Linked DNA regions of Drosophila melanogaster. The protein of the gene in region 2 interacts with the protein of the main gene of each other region in a pairwise test. Each region holds a gene or a part of one and is shown on either strand. Other genes may lie near its edges.

Region 1 (7,425 bases), on a different chromosome or scaffold from region 2:
CATCTTCAAATCAGGGTTCCTCTTCTAACCAGGGATCGTCCTCCAACCAAGGATCGTCATCTAACCAGGGATCATCTTCCAGCCAGGGTTCTTCATCCAACCAGGGATCATCTTCCAATCAGGGTTCCTCTTCCAACCAAGGATCATCTTCCAATCAGGGATCGTCATCTAACCAAGGATCATCATCTAGCCAGGGATCTTCCTCCAACGAAGGATCATCTTCCAATCAGGGATCATCTTCGAGCCAAGGATCATCCTCTAACCAGGGTTCATCTTCGAACCAAGGATCGTCCTCTAATCAGGGTTCCTCTTCTAACCAGGGATCATCATCGAATCAAGGATCTTCCTCAAATCAGGGATCATCTTCAAATCAAAGTTCTTCGTCTAACCAATCGTCCTCGAATCAATCCTCCTCCAATCAATCGTCATCATCTAACCAGACATCATCATCCACTACACAAAAGCCTTTCAAACCTGCAGAGAAATGTGAAAGTGAGGAAACTTTCTTGGCTGACAACGAAAACTGCTCGAAGTTTTATCGATGCGTGGATAATGGTAAGGGTGGTTTTACAAAAGTATCATTCACCTGCCCTCCAAACACGCTATGGGATCCTGAGGCCAACAGCTGTAACCATCCTGATCAGATCCAGACCAAGCCGCTCAAATGCAAAAAGGTGGTTAGCCAAGGCGGAAGCTCCTCTAACAGCACCAGCAACTCCTCGAGTAGCTCAAACAACAGTGGTTCCTCGTCGAACAGTGGATCATCTTCCAGTTCATCATCCTCCAACAGTGGCTCCTCCTCCAATACAGGTTCATCGTCAAACAGTGGCGCTTCTTCCAGCGGTGGCTCATCGAATCAAGGCTCATCCTCCAATAGTGGCTCCTCTTCCGGCTCGAACTCTTCTGGAAATCAATCGACATCTTCGTCAACATCGTCTTCATCATCATCAAGCAATAATAATAATCAAGGTTCCTCCTCATCGTCCTCCTCCAGCAGCAGCTCGACTTCGTCAAAACCAAATCCATCTGAAACCTGCAAAGTTAATGGACAATTTATTGGCGATCGATCGGATTGTGCCAAATTCTATCGCTGCGTCGATAATGACAGAGGTGGCTTCAATATGGTACCCTTTAGCTGCGGTCCTGGCACTGTTTGGGATGCCCAGATGCAGGCCTGTAATCATGCGTGGGCAGTAAAGGAATGCGGTGGTATTGCTCCACCTACAACTTCTACTCCGACGACCTCCAGGCCAACAACGGCAAGCACTTCTAGACCTTCTGACCAAACTTCAACGTCGAGACCCACAGGTCCGCCCACTACCGCACGTCCAGTGACTGCCAGACCAACCACTTCTTCTCCAACAACAGCTTCATCATCCCAAACCACATCTCCTGTTACTCAGGCACCCAATACGGATGGCAAATGTCGATCGGAGGGCTTTATGGCTGATCCCAACAACTGCTCCAAATTCTACCGCTGTGTAAGGAACAACAAAGGCGGCTTCACCTCAATTCCATTCCAATGTGGAGCTGGTACCGTATGGGATCAGGATCTGCAGACCTGCAACCACAATTTCAACAATTGCAGTACGGGCACTGAAAGTACCACTCCAAAACCGCCTTGTGAGCCAGCAACAAATGGAACAACGGCCACGTCTACGTCCTCGACCACCACACCTCCACCCACCACCACTGATTTACCACCCACTTCAACAACAGGATTGCCGCCTACTACAACAACCGAGTTACCTCCAACTACAACCACAGACTTACCTCCTACAACAACTACTAGGTTGCCTCCCACTACAACTACTAGCTTGCCTCCGACTACAACAACTGGACTGCCACCCACCACGACCACAGGAGCTCAACCCACTACAACAACATTGAGTTCGGAAACTGAAACATCAACGGTAACCACAAGTCCGGAAAGCACCACGCAACCACCGTCTACAACCACTATGAAACCCCTACCAGCTGGAACGGAATGCACAGGAGAGGGATACATGGCCGATCCCGAAGATTGCAGGAAATACTACCGATGCATCAATGCTGGAGCTTCCTACAGAAAGTACAACTTTACGTGTCCCAAGGGCACGGGATGGAATGAAGAAGTTCAGACCTGTGACTACGTGGAGAATATACCAAGGTGCTCGAAGTTACCCGCTGAACCAATCACTACGACACCAAGTGAAGAGTCCAAGGATCCCGGAAGCACCACTCCGCAGTCAACGGATGAGCCCACCACAGTGACAAAACCCATTACAAAACCCACCGAAGAACCTTCAACAGAAAAACCTCAAAAGCCGACCACTCAATATCCGGAGAAGCCAACCACCACAGAGGAACCAGAAAAGCCGCAGAAGCCGACTACAACCGAGTATCCTCAGAAGCCAACCACCACGGAGGAGCCTACCCCTGAGAAGCCCCAGAAACCCACTACAACCGAATATCCTCAGAAGCCGACCACCACGGAGGAGCCTACTCCAGAGAAGCCCCAGAAACCCACTACAACCGAATATCCTCAGAAGCCGACCACTGAAGAACCCACCACCACAAGTATTCCGGGCTACAATCCAACAACAACGTCTGTTCCGGGCTATAATCCAACAACAACGCCGATTCCGGTAGAAACTACAACCTCAACTCCTGGCTATAAGCCAACTACCACCGGCGAACCTATTACCACGACCACATTACCTTCCACAACCACGGATGCAATTCAAGAGCCTACAACCTCAAAAAAACCCGAACCCACAACAACCACGGAAAGTCCCGAATCCAGCACCCCTGAAGGTTCAGTAACCACTCTTCAGCCGGAGCCACAGCCTAACTATAACTGCTCATCGGAGGGATTCTTCCCAGATCCCGAGGACTGTAGTCGCTATTACCGTTGTGTGGATGCAGCCAAAAACGGCAAATATCAGGTTTATGCCTTCAAGTGCGGCAAAGGAACTGTTTGGGACACGTCCACCGAGACCTGCAATTACGCCGATCAGGTGTCTGGCAATTGCTCATCGGGACAGACGACCACGCCGGGAACGACTACGGAACCTGGTACGACGGAGAGTACAACCAGCTCTGGAAAACCTGAAACCACCTCAAAGGCCCCTGAAAACACCACAACATGGGCTCCTGAAACCACCACTACATCGTCTCCTGAAACCACCACCACAGTAGCCTCCGAAACCACTACTACTACTTCTGGCACAACCACCACAGCCACTCCTGAAACCACTACAAAACCACCCAAGCCTGAAACCACTACCATAGCTGGGGAAGAAACATCAACGTCAAAATCGCCTACCACTACGGAGAGTCCTGCTCCCAGTACCAATACCTCTGCTCCTTGTCCCGAAACCGGACCAGGTCAGAACGTGTACGTCTGCCCCACTGGATTCCGCCGGCATCCGGAGAAGTGCGGCATGTTCTACCAGTGCAGCGAAAGTGCCGATAACAATGATCTTAACATCGTGGTATTCCAATGCCCCAACGGAACCGTCTACCAAGACAAGTCCTGCAGCTGTGGCAAGCCACCGGCAGGTGACAAGTGCTCCAAGGACATGAAGAGGACCACCAACGCGTTTGAAGAGGAAACGAAACTTCAGAATGTGGTAAGTCGTATAATTGTAAAGTCTAGTCTACATTCCATAATGAAATAATACAATTTAATTATTTTACCATCAACAGGTTCAAATCAGCACGACAGATCCGCTCTGCCCGGATGAGGGTCACTTCGCGCTCAACAACGACCAGTGCGGCCAGCTGTTCGTCAAGTGCGGATTCTCGGAGCTGACGGGTCGCATCGAAGGCCAGATCCACCGCTGTCCGCAGGGATTCGCCTACTGGAACGTTAGCCGACGATGCGAGCCCGCCCGCAAGCTGCCCAACTGCACGCCCACCACCTACAATGTGGGCGGAAACGTGCCGCTGGAGTGGCTCAACATTGGCCATAGACGCCGCAGCATGCGCATTTAATTAGATTTAGTCTAGATTCACTTAGTCGCCCGCCATTGTTCGTTTGCTGCGCCAGCACTTGATGGCCAGCTTGGCAGCTAGCTGATTGCGATCGAGGCAATAAGCTGGCGCAGCAAACGATCGAACCGAAGAGTTAGCTTAGGACGTAGGGAAATTACATTAGGTTAAGCACGGGTGCAGCCCTCCGACATTTATCTTACAAGTGGGAACTTAAAACAAGTTAGCCTATAATACAACCATATATTTCTATAATATATATTGCTTCGATTGTTGGAGGGTAAACTAGATTCTTGGTGTCGGACTGCTAGCGAGACTGCACTTTACGCATTTGAAAAGGAAACAAAAGGTTTTGAGTAGTCTTCCTATAGTGGAAACAGGCACAGCCTTCACTACACACACGTAAATGCTGTAGCTTTCATGCAGTAATTGTATTTATGCTTAGAGTTAAAACATACGTTCTGAACGCCATATACAATATATCTTAGACTATGCTTAAAGATTATAATAAATTGAATCATATACAGAAATCGTCGAAGAATGATGCAGTGGTACTTATTTTACTTTCGGATGTATGCCTCCAGGATGCAGATGACTGGAGCACTAATGTTTTCATTCTTTATGCGATTGTAGTTTTATGTATTCTAACTACTTTCATTTCTGATTGCGTTTTTGAAATTCGTTCTCTATTTCACGATGATTTCGACGGAATACTATTCCTTTTATAAGATAAATACGTTTCTTGGCTTGTTCCCTCTGAAATAATGAGTAAACTAGAGGTTTGCCTTCGGATTTTCGGTAATCTGCTCGTTTCCGGATTTTGGAAGGCTTGGAAGTAATTGAATTTTACGAAAACGTAGACTTTTGCATTCTACTATTTTTCTATAGTTTTATCATACTTTAAATATTACTTCAATGACTGTAATAGCTTCCTACTTCTTTGAGGATCAGTGGTTGACTCCATTCATGCTCCTGAAAAACCAATACTGTATCGTTCTCTCTAGCAAATTCTTTAGGTTTATAATTACCCCTTCTTCACGCACGCTTTTGGCCTCGACAATTGATCCTACTTTTTCTTCTTGGCCTGTGGCGGTGCCGCCGGATTGTCGCCCTTGTAGAAATCCTTTAGCAGAGCCATCGCCTCATCCGCCCGCACACCGCCCGTGATCTCGATCCTATGGCCAACGACGGCGGCCACATCCACGACCGTCTTTCCTCCGAAACGATCGTTCTCACAGCCGTAGATGATCTCCTTGACGCCCAGAGTGTGCAGGGCGGCGGAGCACATAATGCAGGGCTCCACGGTGACCACCACGGTGATCTCGCTGAACAGCTGGCGGGCCGGCAGACGTCTCTCGCGGCAGCTGGCGAGGATAGCGTCGATGCAAATGAATTCCGCGTGGCGAGTGGCGTTCCGGTGGACGTTCACCTCGTTCCCGCCACGTGCGACCACCTTGTCCCCATGAACGAACACACAGCCCACGGGCACCTCGCCGGCGTCACGTGCCCGCCTCGCCTCCACTAACGCTTCCTCCATGAAGGCGGCCATTTGGCATGGAAATAGACTCGGGCGAACTGGGTGAAAAGCCGCAAACAGATGAGATGAAATGACCAGGTCAACAAAAACAATGGGTAGCTCTCACTCAGGCGGCACTTTCCAGCACTGCGCAACAGCTGGCGGTCACGGTGAGCGGTCACTGTACGAGCGGTCACGGTGGGAAAGCGAAGTCACCTTTTGTATTTGGGGTATTCCCCGCAAATAAATAATATCTCAAAATAAAATAGAGAATTCTGTTTCAATAGAATACTGAAATTATTAATAATGTATTCTCTTTTGCCACTCACTTATAAATGTAGAGCTTTAAAGTTATAGTATGTGCAGTAATATCCTTATATATACATAGAATGTATTTGTACAGATACAGATATGTAAATACTATCTAAATAATTGACCATTTTTGCTTCAAGCCTCATTCCGCATGAATCGGATTAGGTTGTGCTCCTCCAAAAATGCTTGAGCCTTCTCGGGCCAATTGGTATTATTAGTAGAACGCGGACTAGGATGCGGCAGTCGGAGCACCGAAACGCAATTGGATTTGGCATATCCTGAACGCTTCAGTGCGCTGTGAACATACTCCCCAACGGCCACAATCACGTCGGGTTGGAGGAGCTTCAGTTGTTCCTCCAGGGTGTGCAGGCACAGGTCTCCTAGCTGATTTTTGTAAGCTCCTCTGATTTCACTGGGCGTTATGTTCCTGCCATCTGCGCCAAAGAAAGCTAGCGGACAGAAATTGTGGACGAAACACTGCTGGGAGAAGGTCTGCATGCTGCCAGCCAGTCGGAGGAACAGCTCCCACAAACGCACACCACTGGGCTCCTCAATCCGACAATCCAAGCCAGCGACTGGACGTTTGGGATGCACGACTGGAGGTTGGTCCACCGAACCAGCCAGCTGCATTAACAACTTTACTGTGCGCACATTGCCAAAGGGAATCTGAAGCAGAGCGCGTCAATGTATCAATATGTTCGGATAATCTACAAGATTAAGCTCTTACTCCGGTTTGGGCCATTCCATTGGGCCCTGGATTCATGCCAACAAATACCAGCTTCTTGGGACCGTCCATATAGCGACGTAAATAGTCGCAGTGCAGCTGGGATGCATATACTATCGGGTTGTAGATGAACGGTGTGCTCTCAGGAGGATTCAGTTTTTCCAGCGCCTCATTTAACTTGACTTCGGTTTCGTAGAATTTAAGCCACAGCGGCTTATCAAAGAATTCCGATGTACTGCCCTGCCTTGCGGATGTCTTAGTGGGCTCCCCAATCTCCAGATTGCATTTTTGCTGGTTCAGTTTGCGCTTCAGCATAACGTTTGCTTCAGCGGAACAGGACAACAAATCGCAGGATTTAAAAGCTGCATTGGATTTGGTTTTAATCAGCTGTTCCACATAGAAGACTCAGTATGACCATATACGACCTTGAAGTTTTTAAATTGAACACGAGACAGATTGGTTTAAAATAAGCAATTAAAAAAAAATCCTATTACAGTTTAATTTATAAATACATTCGATGGACTAACATTGCGTTTTATTAAAAATCTTGATAAATAGCGAGTTTTATATATGTATATTTAAGGTTTAAAAATTAGCGCTCTATTTTTGATTACGCGTAAACTCATCTAGACGCTTCTCATTCTCCCGAACGAAGCTCGATTTGAAGGCTTTGCAGGTTTTCTCTATGCTGCCTTTAACGACGGTTCCAAGAATTTCCAGAAATTGTGATACCTGCAAGAATTATACACAAGTTTAGGATGCCAGCTGGATTCGGGAGTCATGGGGAACATACGGTTAAATTCCTTTCGGGACACGATAGCTTGGCGAACTCGCATTGGGGTGCATGTTTCACGTGCTCCTTCCACGGATCATCTTCGGGCTCCCAGCCATCCAGGGT
Region 2 (7,294 bases):
TGGTCGCCTAGGCGATGAATGCATTGCAATGCACATTGGTCACACTGGCCGACAATAAAACAGTCGCACCGTACGAAATTTGACACTCGAATGAATTAACTGCCGACACTTAAATGGCACAAAATTAACTATGCAATCATTTTCTTTTAATTAACCGTATTCGTTTTAAACGATTGCAGTGTGCATAGTTTTTAATTTTATACCACTTTCAATTTAATTTTTTTATAATGAACTCTCCACTCACCTGATGACTGCTTACGAATTGCCAACTGTTGCCAATGCTTATCCCCACTTTTAATAGTCGGGATCCGCAGCAAGGATAATCACAACAATCGTACGACCAGTTCAGTTAGTGCCACAATCCACGATTAACGGTATGCGATCTAAGCCGTTACAAATATCTAACGGCATTATGTAGCACACGGTATATTTTTGAGTGGAAACCGCTAACAATGTTGTTGTTGCCGCTTCTGCTGCAGCTGCTGCTGCCTATTTTGGCCATGGGGCAAAAACTGGCGGCGACGCCGCGTGCACGTGGTTTTGGCCTCTGTTTGGGCCATGGCTAAAACTGGGTCCTTCACGCAAGCGGGCGGATTGAACTGGCGCTGGCTTACGCACGGACTTTTTTTTTAACTTCGGCACTCAAAAGCACTTGCAAAAAACAAAAACAAACAGCGTAGTTAATAACACAGTCGGCGCAGCGAACTACGCCAATAGGCTGGATATTATGATAACTGTTAAACGTTTCGCGGATTCGTCTCTTCAAGTTATTTATTGTTTTATGGCGCCCTTTCATGCGCGGATCAACCGTAGAGCTTCAAATTTGGTAAACAACTAAGCCGTGCTGGCGTGCAGTGTGACCAGCTCTTGTTCGGGCAACGGTATTTCCGTGCCAGTGTCACCCCAGCTAGCATACCGCAGCCTATCGGTGCTTGTCACGGCTAAGCGGACCGGTGTGCTGCCGGCATGGTATGTTCGAAACGCGGCCGCATGGCCGCACTAAAAACGCGATTTACTTCAACTCGCGTTTCATTTTTACCCCATTGTTGTTGGTATCGTTGTTGTTGTTGTTGTGCACATATCAATTAATGGTGCGCGAGGCGAAATAATAATCAGTCAGTGGACAAGCCCGCCCAACGCCAGAGCCCCAGCCCCAGCCCGCCAAACGCCGCAAAGGTACGACCGGCAGCGGAGCGGCAACCATGAACTTCCCACTGGCGAGCGTCAACAAGGATACGTTGCGGGCTGCCTGCAAGAAATGCGGCTACGCCGGTCACCTGACCTACCAATGCCGCAATTTTCTCAAGGTAAGCGCACCAATCGCATAGACCGCATGTTTATGTTGCTTTTATCCGCCGCTAACCGCTATCCTGAACAGGTGGACCCCAACAAGGAGATCCTGCTGGATGTGGAGAGCACCAGCTCAGACTCGGAGCTGGACTACCTTACGCCGCTCACCGAACTGAGAGCCCAGGAGCTGAAGAGTGGCGCTGAGGTGCCGCCGCCAACGGAGCCAGCGGTGCTTCCCGCGGCAGGCAAACGGGACAGGAGCAAGGACAAGAGCCGCGACAGGCTCAAGGCGAAGAAGCGGGAAAGGGAGCGGGAGAGAGAGAAGGTGAAGGAGAAAGAGAAGGAGAAGGGTAGCCGGAGCAAGGACAAGAAGCGTAGCCACTCAAAGAGCAGCCACAAGCTGGCCGAGAAGAGCAAGGACAAGAAGTCGGTGCGGCACAAGAAGCATGGCAAGAAGAGGAGCCGGAAGCACAAAAAGACCACAAACACCAACAATAGCAGCAGCAACAGCAGCAGCGAGCTGGCCAAAACCAAAACAGGCAAGCGACCGAGCAGCGGCAGCACCAACAAGAAGTCAAAACGACGACGATCATCCTCCACCTCTAGCTCGGATTCGTCGTCGTCGTCGTCGTCCTCCTCCTCCTCCTCGTCATCAACCAGCAGCTCATCGTCGTCATCGAGCGATGATTCGAGTGATGACTCCTCCACATCGAGCGATTCGTCTGAATCGGATTCCAGCGACAACGAGGAGTCCAGCACCAGTGAATCGGATGAGTACGGACGCAAGAAGAAGCGGCAGGGCAAGTACAAGCGCAAGTCCACGGACACGGCCATGCTGCGACGCAAGAAGACCAAGGCGAAGCGGAAGCGACATCGTGCCGGCGGATCCGGTGCTCCGACCGCCGGCAGCAGCTACCTGAGCAGCCTCAGCGACAGCAGCACCTACTGAGAAAGAAAAGAAACAAACAAGGATTAACTGGATCAGCAAGAGAATCTAGATGTGGATCTGTATCTGGATCTGGATCAGCATCAGGATGGATAGACAGCTGCCTCCCAAAGCACTCGCTCCGCAAACTAGCTCGCTTTCCATTTTAGCCGTAAAAACGTAAAGGAGCAGGACCGCCAGCCCATCCTTTCCGCTCCTCACTTCCACAGAGAGACTGCCAGTTCCACTTCCAGTTCCAGGCCCCAAAACAACTTCTCCATGAACTCTTCCCACGGATTATGAGACGCGCAAACCGTAGACTTGTCCCTATACCTTAAATTTCAGCCCGATGTGTGCTGCAAATACAACAAATTAGTTTGTACAAGAGGAAGTCGGAGTTTTTCATAATTGAGAGAGAGCAAAGCATGGGTTGCTATTAATTATAATCTTCCGCAACATATTTTATATCTCACATTTAGTAATAATAGTTGTAATAGATTAGAAAATCGCTTTGTAAATGAGCCCAATAACATGGCAATCTAATGACTTAAAGATAGCTAATAGTGTCTGGCTTGTATTTGTGGATATGTTACGCGACCTAACAAATGATTTAATACACTTTTCGATAGTAATACCGAACATATATAATACGCCTACGTTAGGTGCTATAACCGACCCGAACTGGAGCTGGAGTCGCCTGATTTCTGAAAGATTCGCAGCGCTTCCTGCAGTGCGGAAATGTGTAGCTGCATTTTGGCTATTTGCCGGGAAGACGACTCGCAATTGCGGCAATGGGCAGGCGAAGCAGCTGTGCTTGAATCGGAAATATGCTGGCTGGCTAACAACAGCTGGGCATTCTGCGACTTGAGCTCGCCATTCTGGACTAGTAGCTCCTCGCAAAGGGCGCACGCCGAGCAGCGTAGATCCTCCAGCGCCTGTTCGCGTGCCTTGAGGTTGCGCATTAGCGCTCGATTCTCCCGCTTCAAGTTGAGCAGCTTCTGCTCCAGCTCCAGCATCTCGTCCTCGCTGTCGCGTTCCAGCAGCGGATCACTGGGCTTCTTGGGCGCAACACTCGACTGGCCGCCCATGCGATTCATGGCCTGCAGAATGGCGTCCATCTTGTGCTCCATTAACGCACCCGAGGCACGCTGTTCGTCTAGATATTTGTCCAGTGTCGTCACAGCCAACGGAGTATCGCTGCTCGTTGAAGCGTTGGCCACCGCCAGGGAACTGGCACTGAGTTTCCTGTGAGCATTTGACGAACCTATGGGTCGCGGCACTGGCGTTACTATCACATCCTCATTGGAAGGTGTCTCTGTTTCCCGTTCGCGTTCCTCATCGTCCGCCTTCTCCAGCGTTGGCAGCGTTACGCGGGAACGTGGTTGCGGCTGTGGCGGATTAGGCGTCGTCTTTGTGACCGTTGCTTTAGTTCGGATCTTAGATAAATCCTCACGCGAAGGCGATGCCGAGCTGGAGGATGAGATCTCGCTGAGATAGTGCTCCACTGGCAGTTTGTTTTTGACCATAAACGTTATGAATTCCTTCTCATCCGGTTCCTTGTCGAATCGCAGGCTCCAGAAGCGCTGCTCGTCATCGTAGAACTGCAGATAGGATTCGCGCAGTATCACCTTGCCGCCACGCGGTGTCAACTGCAGCGTGGTCAGCACCTGACTCTTGCTGCGGTAGACAATCAGCTTGCTGGCCTCCATCTCGCCCAGAATCGAGAGGGCCAGGCCGACGCGTCCAACGTTCTCGCTGCTCCGATAGGCATGCACCACCTTGGCAATGGCCGTGTTCCAGGCGGCAGGCGGTGAATCACCCGTCTCCTGGGTGCTACTCCTGGTCATGGCCGGTCTTTTGCCAGCCTGCAATTTTTTGGAGCTGCCTGGCTGATAGCGCAAGCTGGATGATTCGTTCGCCAGCGGACGATCGTCGTCCTCAAAGATCTGGCGCAAGTTGCGAGGACCCGATTCACTGGAGTTCATATATATTTAATATGTATATACCACTGTGCCAAGTGTCCCAATCCCGTCCAGAAACAGACTCACCTTCGCAACTTGTCGAAGAAGTCCTGATAGGACTGATCGTTGCCGATTTCCATGCCTAATTATGCAGTCGCATCGAAAATGTTTAAAAACATTAACTATTGTTCAGTTTGTTTTGACCGAAACAGAAAGTGTGACCAAGCGCCAAAACGAAGAAAACTTGTTTCCACCGGTGAATTGCTTTCAGGAAAATTATAAAATATTATAACTAAATATTAAGCAAAAAGGCCATAAAATAAACATATTTATACATATATATGTTTAATATAGTCAACTGTAATAGAATATATATTCTATATTCAATTCGTTTCAATATAATTAATTCAATATATTAAAACCAAACTGAACTTACTTCTACATTCGAAACAATGTTTTTAAAAAGATGCTTGTGCCTTAAATATGGAAAAATCAATCAATATTTAAACGAACATTTAAATTTTATAGTCACGACCTGCTAATTTGACTGCTTATCACTTTCCTAAATCTATGTTTTTGTTTTTATTTTGATTCTAATTTCACCACCAGCGAAATGGTAATAAATATTTTCGGCCACTCAATACGACATTTGTATTATTGGCGGTTGACCTCCTGGTCACGATGTGTTTTCCACTCCAAATCGCTAATGGAAAAACTGACGATACGGGCACTGCTATCAACCCAAATGTTAGTTGTCAGTGGGCTGAGATTTCGAGAGAATTAAGATCTAGATGCTAGATCTTGATCTCTGCACTCTGCAGATGCTTCCAGCTTCGAAAAAGAAGTTGCTACATTACGTATACGTACCCACAGTCAAGGTTCGTCTTGCTGAATTCGCTGGATTTCTTATTTCACAATAGACATTGGTCCGCCAACCTTCCCAAGGCCATTCAAAGAATCAGCAGCAGCACACTGCAAACAAAAAATGGTACTTCTTTCAGATTAACAATGAAATTAATTGAGTAGTAAGTCATATTATTTCGTAAAGATCTTGTCTTAAAACTGTGTATGATTTTTTGACCCATCAAATGGCAGTCTTAACTTATTATTCTTATTCCAAATTTCGTTCTGTGCCGCCAACGACGCAGTTGCTCTCGATCTTGATGCCTTGATAAGCGGGAGAGCGCATCATTTACCACTTGTTCAAGTGCGTTCATCGGCGAAAATTGCGGCGATAAGCTGCGATCCGGTGCGCTATAAAGTGGCCAGCAGCCCGGCAAGCGTTTCAGTCCGATCTTGGCCAGCCACCGAGAGAGACAGCCCATAAAAACCAACTCCCATCACCAAACAGTAGTAACACCCATTCTACCTGGCACAGCGGATTAGAGAGCAGAAGGCGATAAGGCAGTCGTAAACACAGAGATCTGATTACGTAAATAGGGAACAAAGACCATGGAGGTACCACCGCCACTTGTACTCAAGCGACCGCTCTATGTGCCCAGCAAGACGTTGATGGGGCCCGGACCCTCCAACTGTTCCCATCGCGTCCTGGAGGCCATGAGCAATCCGGTGTTGGGTCACATGCATCCCGAATGCCTGCAGGTACAATATCTTCTTAAAACCACAAAAGTGCTAGCAAGATTGAGCTTAATACTCGAATTATATCGAAAAGTTAAGCCCAAGTCCATATACTCATGGGCCGCACTGTACCTTATCTGAACGAAGTGAAACATTGAGATACATTTGCTGAGCTGGGTCAGAGATCTGTGGGCTAGCCAGTCGAGTGAAACCAGCACATCTCTTATACTTTATAGCAATCTAATATTAGTGATCCCCCCATGAATTGAGCTATTCCCACTGAGCATGGCCAGGTGTTTGTATATTAATCTCTGTATATCTGCAGATCATGGACGAGGTGAAGGAGGGCATTAAGTACATCTTTCAGACACTCAACGATGCCACCATGTGCATCAGCGGCGCCGGCCACTCGGGCATGGAGGCCGCTCTGTGCAATCTGATCGAGGATGGCGATGTGGTGCTCATGGGCATCACGGGCGTCTGGGGTCATCGGGCCGGGGATATGGCCCGTCGCTATGGTGCCGAAGTTCACTACGTGGAGGCGAGTTTCGGCCGGGCACTGTCGCACGAAGAGATCACATTCGCCTTCGAGGCGCATCGACCCAAGGTCTTCTTCATTGCCCAGGGTGACTCCTCGACTGGCATTATCCAGCAGAATATCCGTGAGCTGGGCGAACTGTGCCGCAAGTACGATTGCTTCCTCATCGTCGATACGGTGGCTTCGCTCGGCGGCACCGAATTCCTCATGGACGAGTGGAAGGTGGATGTGGCGTACACGGGTTCGCAGAAATCGCTCGGTGGTCCCGCCGGTCTAACGCCCATTTCGTTCAGCAAGCGTGCTTTGACCCGCATCCGAAAGCGAAAGACCAAGCCGAAGGTTTACTACTTCGATATCCTGCTGATTGGTCAGTACTGGGGTTGCTATGGCACACCCCGCATCTACCACCACACCATATCCTCCACCCTGCTCTACGGATTGCGTGAGGCACTGGCCCACTTTTGTGCCGTCGGCCTCAAGGCGGTGGTGCGTCGCCATCAGGAGTGCTCCAAGCGACTGCAGTTGGGCATCGAGGAGCTGGGTCTTGAGATGTTTGTGTCGCGCGAGGAGGAGCGTTTGCCCACGGTGAACACGATTAAGGTGCCCTTCGGCGTCGACTGGAAAAAGGTGGCCGAGTACGCCATGCGCAAGTGAGTATTGTACAACTGGACGCGAATCCTCGATAGAGATCCGTATTGAATCCTTTCTTTTTTTCCAGGTACAGCGTTGAGATTAGCGGTGGTCTGGGTCCCACGGTGGAGCACGTCTTCCGTATCGGTTTAATGGGCGAAAACGCTACCGTGGAGCGCGTGGACATGGTGCTCAGCATCCTGAACGAGGCCATTCAGAGCAGCAAGCTGGGGATCAAGACGGATCTATCGAAAATCTAACAAATCGTTGCCCTGCTCCTATCACTAGTTATAAAATAAAAACAAATATGGAAAACTAAATGTACTTCCTTTTGTCTTTTGTTCGCTAAATGTTTGAAACATATGGCATGTG
Region 3 (7,816 bases), about 11 Mb from region 2:
CATTTGTAGGATTAACCCGGCGATACAGCACCTCCAGCAGACGCAGCCAGAACTTAAGCAACGGAAAACGCGAATTCATCGCTGAGAAGTGCAGAGGATTTTCAGTTTATCAGACTTAACTTTCCTTAAGATCGAATAAGTTCGTTAAACTCGAGTCAATTATTTAAAGTTATACAAGTTAGGCCAACTTATTCACATGTACACTGATCGCTTGTATATCGCTCACTTACTAAAGCGACTGTCATAGCTCAACCAGCCATGATTTGAAAAGTCACCTTATAAAATCTATTGGTATTAGCCTGAAAGCCTGATTGATTGAGTAAACAACATATCGGCCATATCCCATTCATTTCTTGTTAATCCTGGCCATTCAAATTTAACGTTCTGCAAAATTTCCAGTCCGATTGTAGGTGAGCAATATATAAAACACGATTGTATATACATGTGTAATCATCATACGACTTTCCTCCATACATTCCACGAAACACTCAAAGTCAAAGAAAACACACCTATTCATTTGCACGTTTTTGAATGCAGTCTCTTGTTTTTATCTTTTTTCCTGGCATATATATATATGTGTATTTAAATTTGTAAGATTTACGTCTTGTTATTATTCTTGCTTGTTGTATTAGACTAGAGTGAGACAGCTAGAGGAGAGAGTGAAATAGAGAGAGGGCATCAAATGCTGAAGGCAGATCAATTTATTTAACTTAACCATTTGAAACGGCAATAATTGTAACAAAATCACATATACGAGCACGAATAATTTATAAAAAAAAAAAACATTCCATTTTATGTACTGTGACAAGTCGGAAAAGCCTAACAAAATTATATTTCCTGATTTGTAAGCCTTGTTTTTAATTTGAGCCGATCATTTTGCGTATATCTGCTATGTTTTGTTTAGCTCAATTTCTTATTTTTTCGGCATTACTCATTATATCTGTTTATTTTAAAAACCATTTGTAATTTTTAACTTTTGTTTTTTCGTCATTGTGTCCAATACTCGTCCAAGTTCTTTGTTGTCATTGTCATCACTTAGAGTTATGGAGAAAGGATAGAAAAACGAGGAGATAAAGTTAACAAAACGTTAAGATACAAACGAAACACCAACAGCGCCTTCGCCTTCAAGAGAGCAATTCGATACTTTTTATATATATACAAGAGAATATATAAACGAATACAATCTATGTTATGTACGTACCCCTGTACACACAATTGAATTGAAGTCTGTGTATTCGCTTTAGTAAAATTGAGAAAACGCCACTCACGGCAGATGGGATGCAATGCGATCTGCTCGACTTGAAGTTAACAATATTAATATTTATGGGTCGCAACGGGCATAACTAACCCCATACGAACGTGTACCCTGGGTAGATAGCAAGATCTAGGATAGACAGCAGCGAATCTGAAACTATAACTAAATGCGTATCGCCGCCCAACCACTCCCCTCATATACCCATTTCACATATACCCTTGCATTATCGAGAAATCTGAACTTACATCGAACAAAAGTCGCCAGAATATCCCGATTTCCAAGCAAACGCATGTATATATATATATATACAAAAGCTAATGTGTATTCCCGCTAAGCAACTGAAAAGACCGAAAAGCAAATCACGAAAGAAAACCTTATATTTTGATGTATGTATTATTATTTTTTAATAAACCTAAGAGAACTTGTAACCGATCTGGTGTGTAATTGGTTTTTTCCTGGGAGGCTATAGCAAAACAATGTAAGTTTATTGTTTATATCACAACCAATTCGAGGCGTTAAAGTATACAAAAAAGTTAAAAATGATATTCGGTTCCTGCATTTATAAACGAAAAAATTGTTTCCCTCTGTAAGCAATACTTTTCAATTCAACTGAATTGCTTTCACTTATTTTTAGCTTACAAAAATCAATTTAAATACATTAGCCGGGCCTTAATCAAAAAAGATCTTACATATACCCTTTTGAAGACTGCGAATTAAAAAACCAGTTAACGATATAGTTTTTGTTCCATTTGGGGATTCGATTTATTCGACCACTCTTTTGCTTGCTGAATATGTACAATTTGCTTAAGTGTGCATTCGCGTTTTGGGGCTTTAACCGTAATTGGTTTGTTCTTACAGGGTAAAAATTATAGCTAATTAATTGTACATTCAAAACAAAAATGAGTCATCTAATCAAATTATATTCAAGAGGAAGATTGTGGAGTTCGGAGGCTGAGAATGATTATCAGTCTAATCGCTTTCTGTCGCAACATTTGCGCCATTGTTCTCCAGGCACTGCCAAATGGTCTTGGCCGCTGGACGATCCTCGCTGAGAGCATTTGTGCACAGATAAAACAGCTCCACGACGCAGTTGTAATCGTCGCTAAGTTGAAAGGCCACTGGCAATGGTGGTCGTGTACCATAGGCGGAATGAAGGTTATTCAGTGTAAAGTAAGAGATATCGTTCTCCTTCGTGTCATCATCTTCTTCATCGTCTTCCTCCTCCTCTTCCTTCTCCTCCTCATCATCCTCCTCGTCATAATCTTGACTCATATCGTTGTCTGTGTGTTCTTCCATTGCAGAAGGTAGTCCGTTCTTGTTTTCATCGCTGGAGAAGTCCAACTGTTTGCACTGCAGCTTGTCCGTGTCGGTGGGTAAATCGTGCGAACTGTCCATATCCTCTCCCAGTGCTGCATCAAGCTCCAAGGTATGTGGAGGCACCAAAGCAAGGGTTTCGTAGATAACCAGGCCAAAGCTGAATATGTCTGCCTTGCTGTCAATAACATCCACTTCGTCTATGACCTCCGGTGCGCACCAGAGGTTAGTTCCTAAAATATTAAGACATAAGTGGTTAATTTGACTGAATGTGAAATTATTTATATCATATGGGGTCAGTAAACTCACCCACATAGCGCAGTCCGGGATTCTTTAGGAAATTAACCTCGCCCTGCTCGTCCAGCGGAAGAGAGACTCCAAAATCGCACAGCTTACAAATCTCAAACTCGCCTTTGACCAGGACATTAAAGGACTTAAGGTCGCCGTGCATGAGGTGAGCTTCGTTGTGAAGAAAGTCTAGTGCCTGGGCCACGTCCATGATCATCTTATAGGTATGTTTGGCCGGCAACGGGCCCAGATCCTCGTCGTGTCGCTCCTCGAGTATGGAGCCCAGTGAAGTGGTGCACATTTCAAGTGCCAGTGTGTTGATGCCCTCGTCATTGGTGATAACGCCACGGAATCCCACGATGTTTGGATGCTTCAGTTTGCTGTAAAGTCAAAAGGTGCTGTTTATAGGGGGCAATTATTACAGCAATCCTGCGTAGTGTGTATAAAAAATGCACATTTTACGCAGTCACCTGTAGGTAACTCGATGCATTGGAAGCAAAAACTATGTACATCTAATAATAGCTTTATTTACTAGTATTGAGTTTCCCGGCTGAAGTGCGATGACTTAGGATCTTACTTGGAATATTTTGTTTGGTAATGCTATAATTTTTGTAATCTAATAAAGATTCTTTTGTTTAAAAGATGGGATATATGCAAAATAACATTTTAAGCTGGAATTTAAGGATGATCTATTCAATTCGAAGTGAGCCTAGATTACAATGGGGTATTTTAGCGAGCATGGACTGCAGCTGCTCAGCTGTGGGCCACCCTAATGAATTGCTGACCCACATATCGGATCACCCTAGCACACACGCACATTCAGCATCCGCACACGCACAAACACATGCACCCACACGCAGGACACCGACACATACTGCCAATTTGATTGGGCTTCTGGATTTGGATGAGCCTACCGCAGGATATCGGCCTCGTGAACAATTCGCTCGTTGAAGAGTGTATCCTTCTTGACCCGCATGTTCTGCGTGATCCGCTTGACGGCCCAGGGCGAGCGGATTTCGCCGAGACGAGGCGAGCGGTCCAAGCGGTAGACCCGGATCCCAGTGCCGTGGCCCAGGGTCTTCATCATCGGCGATGGCGGCACGTTGATGGGAGTGCTGCTGTTCTGGACATTCTCCAGGTGCAAATTTCTTAGCTTGCGGCGTGGCGTGTCCATCGCAGCAATAGTAAAATTCAATTAAACCAAAATTAAAGCGACGCGCACAAAACACCGTTTAAACTGTAAATGGAATGCAACAGTGTTGGTGTTGTGTTTGGTCCTAGGCGATAGAGTGACCGTGGCGTCTCTTTTGACTGGAATTAATCGCAAAATAGATGCTAAGCGCAATGTTCTTGTTACTGCCTTGTAGAGCACTCAAACTCTACTAAGTAATAGCTTATAAACTTCCGTCTGAAGTAACTGAAAAACAAAACACACGCCTGCTGTTCTAGGGCGCTGTGCGACTGGTCACACTGAATAGTGGACCGGCGTGCAGTACTAAATATTTAGTCGTTGGCATTCAAATTGCTCCTTATAAATTCCAATTAACTACGAATTATAAGAAATAGAATCCAGTTCCATAATGTTGGCAACGAAATTGGATGGAGTACCTAATACAAGGCCAACAAATATCCGTTTTTAATATATAAAAGTTAGCAACACTATTTTCCATGTTAATACCGGTCGTTTTGTACCGTTAAGCTTTAAATTAAATATATGACACTTAGCCAAGACGCGAACCCATACAGGTGCGTGTTACCCAGACAGCAACCGACACAGAAGTACCGCATTTCGTTGGTATTATTTTCACACCAACAATTGGCGCGAAAGCCGTGCCAAAGCAGAGATGCGATAAAGAAGAGGAGTGCAGAGAGGCGGCAGTCTGTGGAGAAACACCAGTGGAATCGCACACAAGCGCGGCGATTCGAAAGCGGACGTGTGTGAAAATCCAGACCGCGGGTTTTTTAAAATTTTTTGTTTTATTTTTTCGCGTGCGGTGTGGGAGGGTGTCACATCCAAAAAACACAAAGCGACAGCAACAACAACTCCGTTAATATTCTGGATCGGGCACACACGCACACAAACATAAAAAAACCGAAATATACACATGCTTGGCGGAGTTCGTGATTTAAAAATAATACAAAACACCAGAATTAAATATACGCGCACGCACACACACACGCGTATGTAAGGTGCAAAATAAAGTTTCTTTACTGGTTTCTGGTGTTAACAACAACAAAAAACATGAATAACTAAAGAAGAAACCGAAAATATAAACGAAAAGAGGAGCCGCAAAAATGCCACTCAGCTGTTACGGCGAAAAAACAGCGAAAAACGCCAAAAACATCGAAAATCAGGTGTAGCGAGAGAGGAAATATGGTGATTAAAACAAAGAGTGGAATTGGAAACGAAATCGTTAAAAATCAAATAATAACAATAACTACAACAAAGGCGGCGGCAACCTGCTCTTGAAATTGCCACAAATCTTGCTTTAATCTTTTGTTTTACAATAACCCCCAAAATCGCCATAAGGCACAAGTGCAATAAAAACCATAACAACAACAACAACAGCAAGAACAAACAAAATCAATATTCAAATTAAGCAGCAGCACCAACAACAACAACTCAACGAGCCGAGTCGATAAGCTAAACGATAAGTGCGAGAGCCAAAAAGGGGAGAAGAGCGCTCGACAGAGAGCGCGCGAGAGAAAAGCCGAGAGAGTGAGAACACAGCATCCACCCAAACCAAATCCACAAAATTACCACCCCCACAAAATGGGACGTCGAACGTATTTAAGCCGGTCCTCAACGATTTCCTACCCCAGCAGAATCGAAGGATGGCTGGATGTCTGCGGTGAGTGGGAGTTACATATGTACATACATATAACATCATAGACTTCATAGTGAATATCTCTCTAATTTATGTTTTATAAGTGAAATATAGGGTTGTAGTGTAACCTCATTCAATAATAATGAACTTAAATGAACTTAATGAAACTAAAGTTTAATGAACCATAAAGTTAGTTAGCGGGGATGCTGTAATCTGGTCCCTTTTATCGAACCTAATGGTTTTCAATGTACGATTATCTCTTTCTCTTAAACCTTAAAGATTAAGATATTGTCATACCCTTAAACTAAATGATTGGTTAATTCATCCAATTGATCCTATTGAAGCCCTGTCTAAATAAGGAATAGCTACATAAACATAGTTTTCTATAACTATCCCCTGGATTTTTAATTACAAACTCAAAACTAAGATTACTTTAAAAGTTAATAGTACCAGGAGATAAGGGAAACAATTGAAGACAAATAATGGTACCCAAAAGTGCCCACCGTCGGAAAACAAATGTTGCGATTAGAACCGCAACTCAAAGTAAACAAATAGATCTAATCTAATTTACTATTAGGTACCATTAAATACAATTTACTAGATACAATCTTTATGTGTACTGCTGCTAATGAATGCGGCTCAGATTGAAGTTGGCTAAAGAGCTACAATGTCTGGTATGAATATACGTTTTAATGGTAACCATTACTAAGGAAGCATTCAATTGAGCATAGCAAATTTTCAATGGGAAACTATGCTTCTGGAGTATGCCAACACACGAAAGTCAAACCCAGTGACCAACTCGAATTGTTTATCACTTGGCTATACATTTAACACCTTTTTAAAAGTGCATAAAAATGGTGAGCCAGTGTTCATAAGTTGGCTTTTTAATGTGGCAGGTTCATATGTGGGTTTTGCCGTGGAGAGGGGAAATTCGGATGGAAAAGTGCCCTACCGGCGGATGCGGATGTGGAAGCAGTTGCGGATGTGGATGCGGATGTATAATGTTTGGTTTGGTGTGGGCTGTGGGATGAGCTCTCTCGAGTTAAGTGTCTTCGTGTCACCTGTGCAAATTCCTTGGCCTGGGAAAAAATACCTTTCCACATTTTTCGGGCAGGTTCATGTTTGTGGACTAGCGTTTTTCCCCGTTATCTCACATTTTACCTGTCGCAGGTTGTCGCTGCCTTAGTTGTTGGTGTTGTTTCAGCGAGGGGTTGCTCGTACGTCCCTCGGAAAAAGGTGAAAACACACACACACACACAAGTACACTGCAAATACCCAGGCGAATAGACAACAAAGCCCCTGCGCAGGGTCTCTCCTCCCATCGAATGTTCAGGCGACCAAAGTGTCGAAGGTGAAGTGGAAATCTTTGGACGGAACCCCAAGATCGTTTGTATTATGTACATATATATGCATACTGCTTTTGGAGAGCTAAAAGTAATAGAGGATAAACGTACAACTAGAGTCAATCTCTTAGCACAACTTCTTAGAAATAATACATATAAAAACTATAACCAATCTATTAAAATGTATTCATAAACTAACAAGCTCCGCATATTTAAACAAATTTGTAAATCACCACTTATTTCTATTTATTCCGGAAAACATATTGCAGTAAATAATACTTTGTATAAGGGGTTTCATGCAGAAGTTTTTCAAATTAATTAATGCAGTATTGAATAAAAGTATTTAAAGCTAGTTAATAAAAGCAGTTTAAAAGCTATTGTCTCAAAACAGATATAAATTAAATCTATAACTGGTAAAAGGGTTTCACCACGGCAAATAGTAAATGTTTTTGTCGCCTGTGACCGATATGCCCATGTGCATTTGGATTAGCATGGGCCATTGGGGGAACACGTACAGCAGAAATTGGTAATAGCAGACAGCCACACACACACACACACAATCAAACGATCGCGATAAGTGGCAGCAAACAGTAAAAAAGGCTACCTTCGCCTTGAAGGCAACTTCTCTTATTGCCGTTTTCGGATTTCGTTCGCTTGCCTCATTTGCTTTATTTTTCCATTTTATTTTTTTTTCTTACCTTTCTGTTACGGTTATTTGCCCGCAGCGGAAGGAAGGTGTGTTTATTTCCAGGTGAACACGAATGTGCGTGCGTGTGTGCTTGTGTGTG
Region 4 (10,160 bases), 1.6 Mb from region 2:
AGAACATTTGGCCAGCCTCGAATATCTCCAGCTTGGCCAGAATTTGAGAACCAGACTGGGAAAGCCAGCCTTTCCATTCCACTTTTCCCCACTTTGGCCAACAGCTACACGCAGAAAAAGTTGATTTCAATCTAGAAAAAGGTATTTATAACTAATTTTATAACATAACTATATACATATATTCCAAGCAACGTTTATATATCTGATTTGAGATCTTGATACTATACAATAATATAAACATATATAACATATACATTTTTCGCTGAGTGCACGGGCCAACGGTAAAGCACAACAAAGTGTGGTCACCACTACGAATTGGGCCAGAAATCGGTGGCCAAGTGGATCTGGCATGGAGATGGCGACGAAGAGGTGGCCACTCCGCTCCTGACAGGTGCTTCGCCTTGGGATGCAAAAAAGTGGATGAGTATTGCGATAGCGGTGATCGGGGTTTGGGGATCGGGAATAGAGGTGCGCCAATGCGATTCGGTGGTTAGCAGGCTTCTGTTCTGGCCGATTAGCGATCATTATTGATTTCGCTTTTAATTCGGTATCTACTTGATATCTACAGCAGGGAATACACTACAAAAAACAAATTGGCACATCGTGTTCTAATTTATTTGCTTACAATACAGTGTGTATCATATTGGAATGGATAATCAAGCTACAGTTGGGATTTAAAATCCCTAAAACTAGCGCATCCTATAGATACATATATATATAGATACGCATATTATGCGAAATTTGATAGATTATATATATGTATTTCTCAGTGCATCAACGATAAATGGTCTTCAATTTGTCCTGTTGAATCGCTCGCCGAGATTCATCCCCTTGATGAGCGTGTAGAGCGAAAACGAGAACTTGGCTATCTAAAGATATGGAGAAAATATTATTAATATAGAGGAAAATCTATAAACATCATGCTAAGGATAAGAAAATTGGTATGTGCTTTGTATTTGGAAAATAGAAAGAGTATGTCCTCAGTTGGTAATCCTCTAACTCTTAAGCCAAGATTGTTATTCATAACCTATCATCTCTAACTATGGTAACTAATAGTAGAGCGGACTTACACTGAAGTACGTGGCCAGATTGATGGGAAACAGCTTCATGGCGGTCAGCGTGATGGGCTGCTGGGCGCGATGAAGATAGTAGAGCAGCATCTTACGGAACCGGGCACTCTGGCCCAGCCACTGGCACTGGAAGATGGCCAGGGCCAGCCTCTCGTTGTCCAACATCAGCGAGGTGGCCTGATAGCAACATGGAGCCGTCTGCAGGGTCACCGCCAGCAGGTAAATGATCGATGCGATCTTCGTGTTCGTATTGGCGAAAATGAAAATGTTGATCATGGTGGTGCCCATGATGGCGGCGGTGATCAGGAACTGAACGAATATGGTACGCGAGATGACGGGACTAATGCAGTCGAGCAGCTGCAGCATCGTCTGGTGATCTACAATGCAGCGCTGCAGTTCCGCGCAATGCTCCTCCTGCCGCCGCTCATCGGGATAGATCTCCACCTGGCCACTATCATCCGTGCCCAGCTTCTCCACCCGCCTGGCCAGCAATTGCACTTGAATCCGGACCACATACAGATAGATAACGGCGTACACATCATCGCTAGCTTGGTGCAGGCACGTCCAGTTCATGATAAGGAACTCAATCCAGGCCTGGATGCAGAACTGCATCTGGGAACGCTGCCAATCGAGGCCAGGCAAATAGAGGGCATATGGCGGTTGGCCCAGCAGGAAGGCGCACACAAATGTCGACGAGGAGTAGATGGCATAGCAGATCTGGTAGAACCATACCAGATAGTTGCAAAACCTCACCGCATCGAGGATCAATTGGAACTCCTCCTGTTCCCTGCACCGCGCATCCAAGGCGGCCAGATGATGCTCTGCTCTGCGCAGCAATGGCAAATTCCACGCCAGTGCCACAATCTTGGCCGGCAGAATGACCGCATCGATGGCCACCTGGGCGGAGGTCAGCACCTGGGTAATCTCCATGCCGCCCATGTACCGATAGCTGATCACAAAGAATGTGGGCACCAGCAGCAGTTGCCACACGTACATGACCACCGAGAAGCAGGCGTAGATGCGTTGCCATGTGCTGCTCGTGGTCGGTCGACTGCCATCCGGTGCCTGCATGCCAAGGGCATAGAAGCAATTGAAGAGATTCCTAAACGCTCGCCGGGATTCGGGCACTTCCTGCTTTGTGGCCACACGAGTGCTCACCGCCATGGCTGATGGACTTTTGACGCCTGGGAATATTCGAATGGCCTCTTTTATAGGCTGCCCAATTAAAAGTTGACCCTCATTTCGATTCGATTCGTTACTTTTTTTTTTCTATAAAAAATAGTTTTTTATTTTCGCATTTTGGTCTCTGAATGATTTAAATGAATCGTCAATTGTTAATTGCTAATTTGTACATAACATAAGTCACAAGCAGCATTTTGTTATTGCATATTTGTGAGTCCTTTTCGCCCCTCCCCCAAATCTACCGCCCATTATTCCCAACCCCCCATCAGAATCGAACTTTTCAATTCGATTTCAATTCAATTTCGTTCGCTTGCTAATTCAAAGGCAATTAAGCAGCAAATACAAATAAACTTAACTTAAGAACCCGAAGAACCCCATCCTTCCGACTAATTAATAAATAATGCAGGCAAATGCAATTAAGCTAGTGGGTAAATGTAAAGGTTAACTGGTTTCATTCTTCTTCTGTTTTTTTTTTTTTTTTTTTTTTTTTTTGGGCAGATATTTGTGGCTATATTGCTTGGTTTTGTGGTTCAATCGGTTCCTATTTTTGGTTAACTTCGGCTTTGTGTGTGAGCATAAACAACAATTTGTCTAAATTATAGTTATTAATTTATGCGCATATGCATATGAGGAGGCCTCTATTGCCTGCCACCAGCTCCAAGAAAATGTAGCCCAGAGTTTCGGGGTTTTGGTCGCGTGGCAAACGAGTCGAGTAACGAAATCTTCAATTTGATTCAGCTCCTCGAAAGTCGAAGGTAGCTATTTTGTGCATCCTGCGTTCGGGATGTTCTGGAAATATCTTAAGATATATGTATATACACGGTATTATCTCAATTGGTAAACTTGAGGAATATCTCGAGATATTTCCAATAGAAAAAAAAAAACCACTTTGCAAACAAACATGATTATATAATAAGTATCTGTGTACGTGGCATACATACATACATATATGCAAAGGTAGTTCAAATTCATTGCCATTATATCAATATCATAGCTATTCAGTATTTGGAAAAAACAGCAGCAATATGCTTCTTTATGTATATGCATGTATATACTCGTATATATCCATTATATGTAATTGTAAATCGATCGAGTTAAACTGGTATTCAATTCAGAGCTAGTGATTTTGTGGGTTAACGCGTCTATATCGGTCTATATCTAGTTGTCTATAACTATATATATATATATATATATGAATATATAAACATTTTTTTCAGACTTAAAAATGGAGCTTACGGCTGGCGTGTGTCTTGATCGGGATGCGGTGTCCTCGGAATTAATTGTTTGTTATCTATTATTGTTGTTGATGATGGCTTGCTAGCTAGCTGGCTGCACTTAATCTGAATCAAAAATCGGAGAACGCAAGTGGAGGCCTTCGTCACTATACATAGGTATACCTAGGTGTATAATACATAAATGGGAGTATATATCAGCCATATCCGTGCCATCCGTTGATGGGGCGGCTAATCTTATACGAGGGATTTGGGATTCGTTTGGATGTGTGATATACATATATTTGGTTTTGGAATCCGTCATTAGGCAAAACTAGTGAAGTCTTCACTCTACTTTTAAGGCAAATCGCACAAGTCGGGGGCTGCACAAGTCTATGGGTCTATGGGTGTGTATGTCTGAATCCTCGGGCACATTTTTCGATCGGGAGTATCTTTGTGTGAATCTCCTGAAGATTTCCTTCCCTGCCTATAGGTTGGCTAACATTAACATCGAAGTTGATATATGTACTTGGGTGTAAACAACTTGGGTAGCTACTTTTATGTACAGACAGTGGGTATCAAATTCTGCAAGAACCTATAGTATCTGGAATCTTAGCCACAAGGATATTTCGTAGTATTCCCCATCTCAACTACTGTCATCCGTTTGATATAGATATATATATATGTATGTATCTAGTTCTTCCTGAAAACCATTTGATTTATCTGCGCTTTGATATTGCATTTCTCTTCCAATTGCTTTCTGTGAACTTGAGTTATCGCCTCCCAGATCTTCCAGCTGCTATGGCTAACCCTCTCTTTTTCGCTTGCCTGGATGTGCCTGTCCTGCTCTTTCACAAGCGGTACTCATAGTGCGCCGATCGAGATCGCCGAGCTCCCGAGTACCAGCGATATGGTACTCGCTGCTGATGCAGCGCCAAGTCAGCGGCTCCTCCGCCGGTCCCAATGTCCGCGCCCGGACTCCGCGCCAACTGCAAGGTTAGCGCCAGACGCGACTGCTAGGAGGATGAGGCCGATGGCGACGGAGTGCTGCCACTGGACGCCTGTCGCTGGCGTCTCTGCTGTTGTTGTTGTTGCTGCTGCTGCTGTTGGTGTGGCAGCTGCATCGCCGGTGCCGTCATCCGACGTCCCAAGGCGGGCAGCGGATTGGCATCCAGATAGGCCTCCGGACTGAAACGCACCCGACTGTGCTGGGAGCCAATGGAACCCTCTTTGGCACTCAAGTAGGAGCTGTCATCGCTGGTCAACGAGTCCGGCGGCGTGGGATTAGTGGGTGTGCCCTGCTGCGAGGATGTTGACCCATTGCCACCATTCCCACTATTGTACTTCTTTAGCGAGCTGCGCAGCTTTGACTGGCCGGCCAGTGGTGGTGGTAGTGCAGCAACCACCGAACCCGCTCCGGATTGTTGATAGCCCAGCGAGAGCGCATGCTGCTCGAAGGGCAGACTGGCTGGTCGCGTCACCGCCGCCGTGGCATATTTGCTCTTGGTCATCGGCAACGGACTGTGGATGAGGCGGTTCAGTAGCTTGGGTGATCCTGCATACAGTTCCTGCTTTGTCGGCGGCGGCACCTGGTCAAGCTCTCGTTCCCGCTCGCATTCCCTCTCGTACTCCGCATTCAGATTGAGATTGTTGTAGTCATAGCACAGCAGCTCTTCGTGCTCCAGCAGTACATTCGAATTGTTCGAAACGGTTGAGGGAGTGCGTCGGTGTCCGGCCGCACTTACGCCCATCTGTGGCACCCGCGGTGGTGGTGTACGGGTCTGGCTCACCGGACAGGGAACGGTCACGGGCAGCGGCACCACTGGTGGCGCCTCATACTGGTAGTCATAGTAGTCCGGCAGGCGATGGTTATAGTCGTAGGAATAGTCCGGATACGATTTACAGTCACGCTCGTAGCTGTAGTTCAACTCCGGCCGGTATGGAAAGTAATTGGAACCTATCAACGGGCAATTAGTATATTTTAAATTGGAGGATTCTCCTCGAATGTCTAATGGCTTGCCCACTCACCGAAGTAACCATTTCGGTAGTTTCCCCCATCGTTGGAGTAACTGGGTCCGTTTCTCAGGTAATCGGCTGGCGCATAAAGTGGCGGTGGACCAATGCCACCGCCCACACGAAACTCCTCGAAGACATCCGCTTGAGGATTGGCATTGCCAAAGCTGCTGTTGCTCAGCTTACGCCGTGGCGATGGCGTCGGTGGCTGGGTTCCGGCATACAGTGCACTCACCACGGCTGGCGGCTGTGATGGCGCTACTGTTGTCACCACGGCCGATGGAACTGGCTGTGGCTGGTGAGGATGATGATGATGGTGCTGCTGCTGTTGCTGTTGCTGCTGGTGGTGATGGTGCAACTGATGCTGTGGTGTCCGCTGCACAGGTGTGTAGTACGGCTGACTGCCTCCGATGCGCCGGGCCAGAGATGTGGGCTGCGATTTGCTGACCGGAGCTTCAATGCCACCAAATCTGGGGGGCAGGAATAGAGTATATAGTGTATAAAGAATTCGCGCTCTTTCGGATTCATTTAGCACTTACCTTGCTTGTGTGACTATCTTACGTGGCGTGCTTTCCCTGAGCTCCTGCTGCTTCAGTGGCACATTTACTTCCAGTTCCAGGATCTGTTCCGGCAGTGAATCCTCCACCACCTCTTCCGTTCCGGTAATCGCTGCCTTTGGTGCCGCCTTCAGAGCTGGCACTTCGCTGAGCAAAGTCGGATGCACTGGCGACACGTTCGACATGCGAACATCATATCCGGCCGCCACTCCGGCCAGCAGGGATGCCATGTTGTACAGCAACAGTTCGATCACGGAAAGCTTCGGCTTGCGCGCCGAATCGCCGGCATAGAGTGTCGGCAGTGGCACGTTGCTGGTGAAGCGGCTGAGGAGATATGGCGATGGCGACATAATCGGCATGTTGGTGGCACCCGGACGCCAGTTATCCATCTTGCTATTGCCCTGGTAGCCTGGTCGGTCCGATCGGCAGCATTCCAAGGCGGATATGAGACATGATTGAGTTACGGCATATGGTTGGTACTGGCTTGGGGGAACGATGGCTGGGATATGGTCGGTAGTCGGGTGGTAATCGGATAGTCGGAGGCGGGGGGTACAAGAGTAGTTGGATAGTAACCGCAGGCAACACCAAAGTTTAACCACCGCATACCAAGGAGACTCTGTTCGTCCTATATTAATAGGTTAATCTCTCTCTCTCTCTCTCTGTCCAAAATTGTGGATTGTGCTCATGCACAGAGAAAATCCATTCTTCATTCAGTCATTTTCACGTTAAATTGACATTAAAAGATAGCTTCACTTTAAATAAGTTTAAGTAATTTAAATGTTAGTTTGGATCATTGGACTTTCTCTGTGCTTTTTAGCTGCGAGGCAATCAAAACTGGTCGGCAGATTGTCTTAAGTTGGTTTTATTGTCGGATTTCTGTTTCTGGGTATTGGTTCTTCTTTTTTTTTTGTTTGTTTTTTTTTTTGGGGTTGGCTTGGCCCCAACATGGAAAATACAATAATATACAAAGTACATTGAAATAGAATCGAGCACTAAACGTAGAATGAACAAATCGTAAAATGAAGTATAAATATACAATTGAAAGTTTTCATAAAAATAATACAAAAAAATGATCATTTCCTTTTCGTTTCATCATCGTTTTTTGATCACAGGTTTTTTTTTCTTTCTTTCTTTTGCGCGATTATTCTTGTGCTTTTTTTTTTTTTTTTTTGTAGAAATAAATCATAAATAAATAAAATGGAAAACCCGATTGCATAATAAATGTATGTAAATAAAACTGTGCTCAAAATACCAAAAAAGTCGAATATCAAATTAAAATTAATGTGCACCGCAACTTTTCGTTAAGTGTACTTAAGCCAAACGAAATGCCGCAAGCGATGGAAATTTTGGAAAATATCTCTTACAAAGATTGAGGGGGTGAAAAAAAAGGAGGAAGGACTCCAAAAAAATGTTCGAGTTCCTACAAAACTAGAACTTAGTTCAACTAAGATGTGTGTAATGTGTAATGTGTAAGGACGCACTTACGCATCGGTATAAATATAGCTTAATGTTAATCCAATTGTTACACATTTATGTATATGGTTTAGTTCAATATATTTTGCCATTGGCCCATGCACACGTTTTTTCTCTCCGTGTCTGTTTGTCTACGTACAAGCGGCGTTAGTCTATCTATCCGTTTGATCCTCAAAAGTTCGTCCTCACTTCTGTGCTACACATTGCAATTTTCTAGCCACTCCTCTGGCACAAAAAAAAAAACAAAACAAATCACTGGACTAATTAGGGATTAACTTGATTTGTGAATTTCGCACAACATATTGCATTCGTTAGGAACAATTCGGTTATTATGAAATGCCAACCGCGGACAGAGGGGTTTTTTGTTTAGTTCTATGATTTCGTTAGACGGAAAGAATTCGGATAGGTATCTGTATCTCTGGGCCCTACTAATTTCACACATTAGCTATGGCTAATCCTCGCCTGCTGTTTCATCTCTTCGCTCTTCCTTTGCGTCTGACTTAGTCTACAGTTTTAATATAAAACAATGAGCTAATTAGGCGGTTCTCATCTGGCGGCCAACTCCAACAGCAACACTGCAGCACGGCGCACAACTGGGACTTTAGCATCGCTCCAGTTGCTCGCAGGATTGCGTCTGCGGCTTTTTGCCTTTGCGCTTCAAAGAGCGACTGCTGCCCCCCATCGCCAAATCGGTTTGATAGGGATCAATGGCACAGAACTCGGGTCCACCGACCATGTTGTGCTCCGCCAGCTTGCTGTACTTCTTTCGCGAGCGCGTAAAGAGATTGAAAAGGGCACGGATTTTGCTCGATCCAGCCGAGTGATGCTGGTGCTGGGGATCATTGTGGTCATCATGTTCATGGTGCTGTCCCTCGACTGGCGCCTCAACAGACTTGGATTTGGTTATGTGCTTGGGCCGTTGCTTCTTTTGGTTCTTGGTCTGCTGGCGCTGTTCCTGGGCCCGCAGCTTAATGACATCGGGATGCGGCTGAACATCTTGCATCCGACGCGTATTCAGTATGGAGTTCTCCTGCATGTGATAGCCGTTCACGGCTTCCGTAGAAGCAATGGACGGTGAGGCGGACGCAGTGGTGGACGATGAGGACAGCGATGGCGAGGCGGAGCGGTAGGTGGCGAAGCTAATTGAGGCACTGGATGTATATAGATCCGATCTGGCAGTCGTTCGCGGCGTGGCCACAAAATCGGGCTCTTCGAAACTGACGCTCTGGAAGGTCACTGAACTCTTGCGCGACGTGGTGGAGTTCTGGCGCATCTGACTGGCGGGCACTTGACACTCATCGTCGGCATCCGCATCTGCTGTGTCCACCTCCGCCGCCACCGCGTCCTCATCCTCTGCTTCCCCTTCCTCCTCCTGCCTGGTGAAGAAGCAGTGCCGTGGAAACTGCGAGCCGGAAAAGTTACGCTGAAAGCGTCCACCCTCGAAGGCCTCCTCCGCATCATCGCAATCCCTGGCAGTCAGCGGTGTGCTGGAGTTGTACATGGTCAGGTCGCCACTGGATTTGGAGTTTACCCTTTCGCTGCTGGCCATGGACATCTTTTTGATCACATCCCGATAGAAGGCATGGTCATACGTATTGTTATCCTCCGATGGCAGAGTTAACTGGTTGGGCAGTGCAAAGCTATTGCTACCGTTCGCAGGCGGATGATGACTGCTGCTGTCCAGCGAATGCTTCTTTCTGCCCACAGCTGGACTGTTGCCCAGACTGCCGCCAAAGCGATGCAGATGCACGGCACCACTGGCCGCCGATGAATTGCCGGACTTCAGGAAGTGAAAGCAACCGGTCGGACTGGCAACGGTGTCCGTTTCCGAGCTGTCATCCGTTACCAAATAGAGTGGTGGTGGCTGATAAGCAAGCGGATGATCAAGTCCGTACTCCTGGCTCCTGGCGCGATGGTAGATCTTGGCTGGGGATTGACTGGTGGTGCTGCTGTTGGAGTTGTTCCGGCCGTTTTGGAGGACAATTATCGTGTTCGGTTGGGAGGTCAGGTTAGTTTGATTGTTATTGTTATTGCTATTAATAGTACTAATATTATTTAGCTGATTGTTGTTGTTGGCGGAGATGCTGTTGTTGTTGTTGTTGTTGTTGTTGGTGGTTGTGGTGGTGGTAGTTGTGATGGTGGTGGTGATGGCTTTACAATTGCCAATGTTGTTGTTGTTGGGGCGCGTTAGTATAATGGGTATACCTGGGTACAACAATGGTGTGGCCGGCGTCCCACCAGCGCCTCCACTTCCACCCAAAATTCCCAAACCCGGCGGCGGTGTCAGCGAGGCCACCTGTTGCTGGTTCTGCTGCTGCTGCTTCTTGTCCAGATTCGGAGCACTCTTGCTGAATGAGGAGTGAGTTGAGGTCTGGGCGGGCCATTCCGGCTGACCGCCGCTCAGTTGCGAAGGCAATAGGGATCGCTCCCGCTGGTGCATCGTCGACGGGCCCCACGTCTTGCCCTTGTGCCCATCGGTCACTGATTCACCCCAATGTCATCAAAATAATACGGAACATAAGAACATAACGAAGAAACCAAAGGCAAATCAATAAAATATACAAAAATTAATTCAAAAATAATGATAACAAAAATATGCAAATAATCTAGTTCAATTTGTCCAACGATACGAGGTGGTATCTTACATTCCCATG

What was found.
Region 1: the proteins of CG3342 (region 2) and CG5292 interact in a two-hybrid assay, tested with the Drosophila melanogaster proteins (one large-scale study listed by BioGRID).
Region 3: the proteins of CG3342 (region 2) and CG8173 interact in a two-hybrid assay, tested with the Drosophila melanogaster proteins (one large-scale study listed by BioGRID).
Region 4: the proteins of CG3342 (region 2) and CG2278 interact in a two-hybrid assay, tested with the Drosophila melanogaster proteins (one large-scale study listed by BioGRID).

The regions. Positions count from the first base shown.
Region 1 is NT_033777.3:17,150,073-17,157,497, reverse strand, and holds CG5292 (uncharacterized protein), read right to left. Parts: upstream 5,638-7,425; 5' UTR 5,525-5,637; coding exon 5,042-5,524; 3' UTR 5,004-5,041; intron 4,948-5,003; 3' UTR 3,979-4,947; downstream 1-3,978. Other genes in the region: Mur89F (mucin related 89F), read left to right, coding at 1-3,614, 3,691-3,978; Smug (Single-strand-selective monofunctional uracil-DNA glycosylase), read right to left, coding at 5,939-6,469, 6,531-6,842; Det (deterin), read right to left, coding at 7,128-7,259, 7,321-7,425.
Region 2 is NC_004354.4:6,523,488-6,530,781, forward strand, and holds CG3342 (uncharacterized protein), read right to left. Parts: upstream 4,402-7,294; 5' UTR 4,317-4,401; coding exon 4,264-4,316; intron 4,190-4,263; coding exon 2,881-4,189; 3' UTR 2,619-2,880; downstream 1-2,618. Other genes in the region: CG3918 (uncharacterized protein), read left to right, coding at 1,203-1,307, 1,379-2,239; Agxt (Alanine-glyoxylate aminotransferase), read left to right, coding at 5,629-5,778, 6,080-6,942, 7,011-7,182.
Region 3 is NC_004354.4:17,705,411-17,713,226, forward strand, and holds CG8173 (uncharacterized protein), read right to left. Parts: upstream 4,244-7,816; 5' UTR 4,032-4,243; coding exon 3,772-4,031; intron 3,238-3,771; coding exon 2,879-3,237; intron 2,803-2,878; coding exon 2,225-2,802; 3' UTR 1,991-2,224; downstream 1-1,990. Other genes in the region: par-6, read left to right, coding at 1-9.
Region 4 is NC_004354.4:8,163,475-8,173,634, forward strand, and holds CG2278 (uncharacterized protein), read right to left. Parts: upstream 6,793-10,160; 5' UTR 6,423-6,792; coding exon 6,016-6,422; intron 5,947-6,015; coding exon 5,492-5,946; intron 5,421-5,491; coding exon 4,480-5,420; coding exon of another isoform or gene 4,315-4,479; 3' UTR 2,359-4,314; downstream 1-2,358. Other genes in the region: Or7a (odorant receptor 7a), read right to left, coding at 792-869, 1,071-2,234; slpr (slipper), read right to left, coding at 8,108-9,987.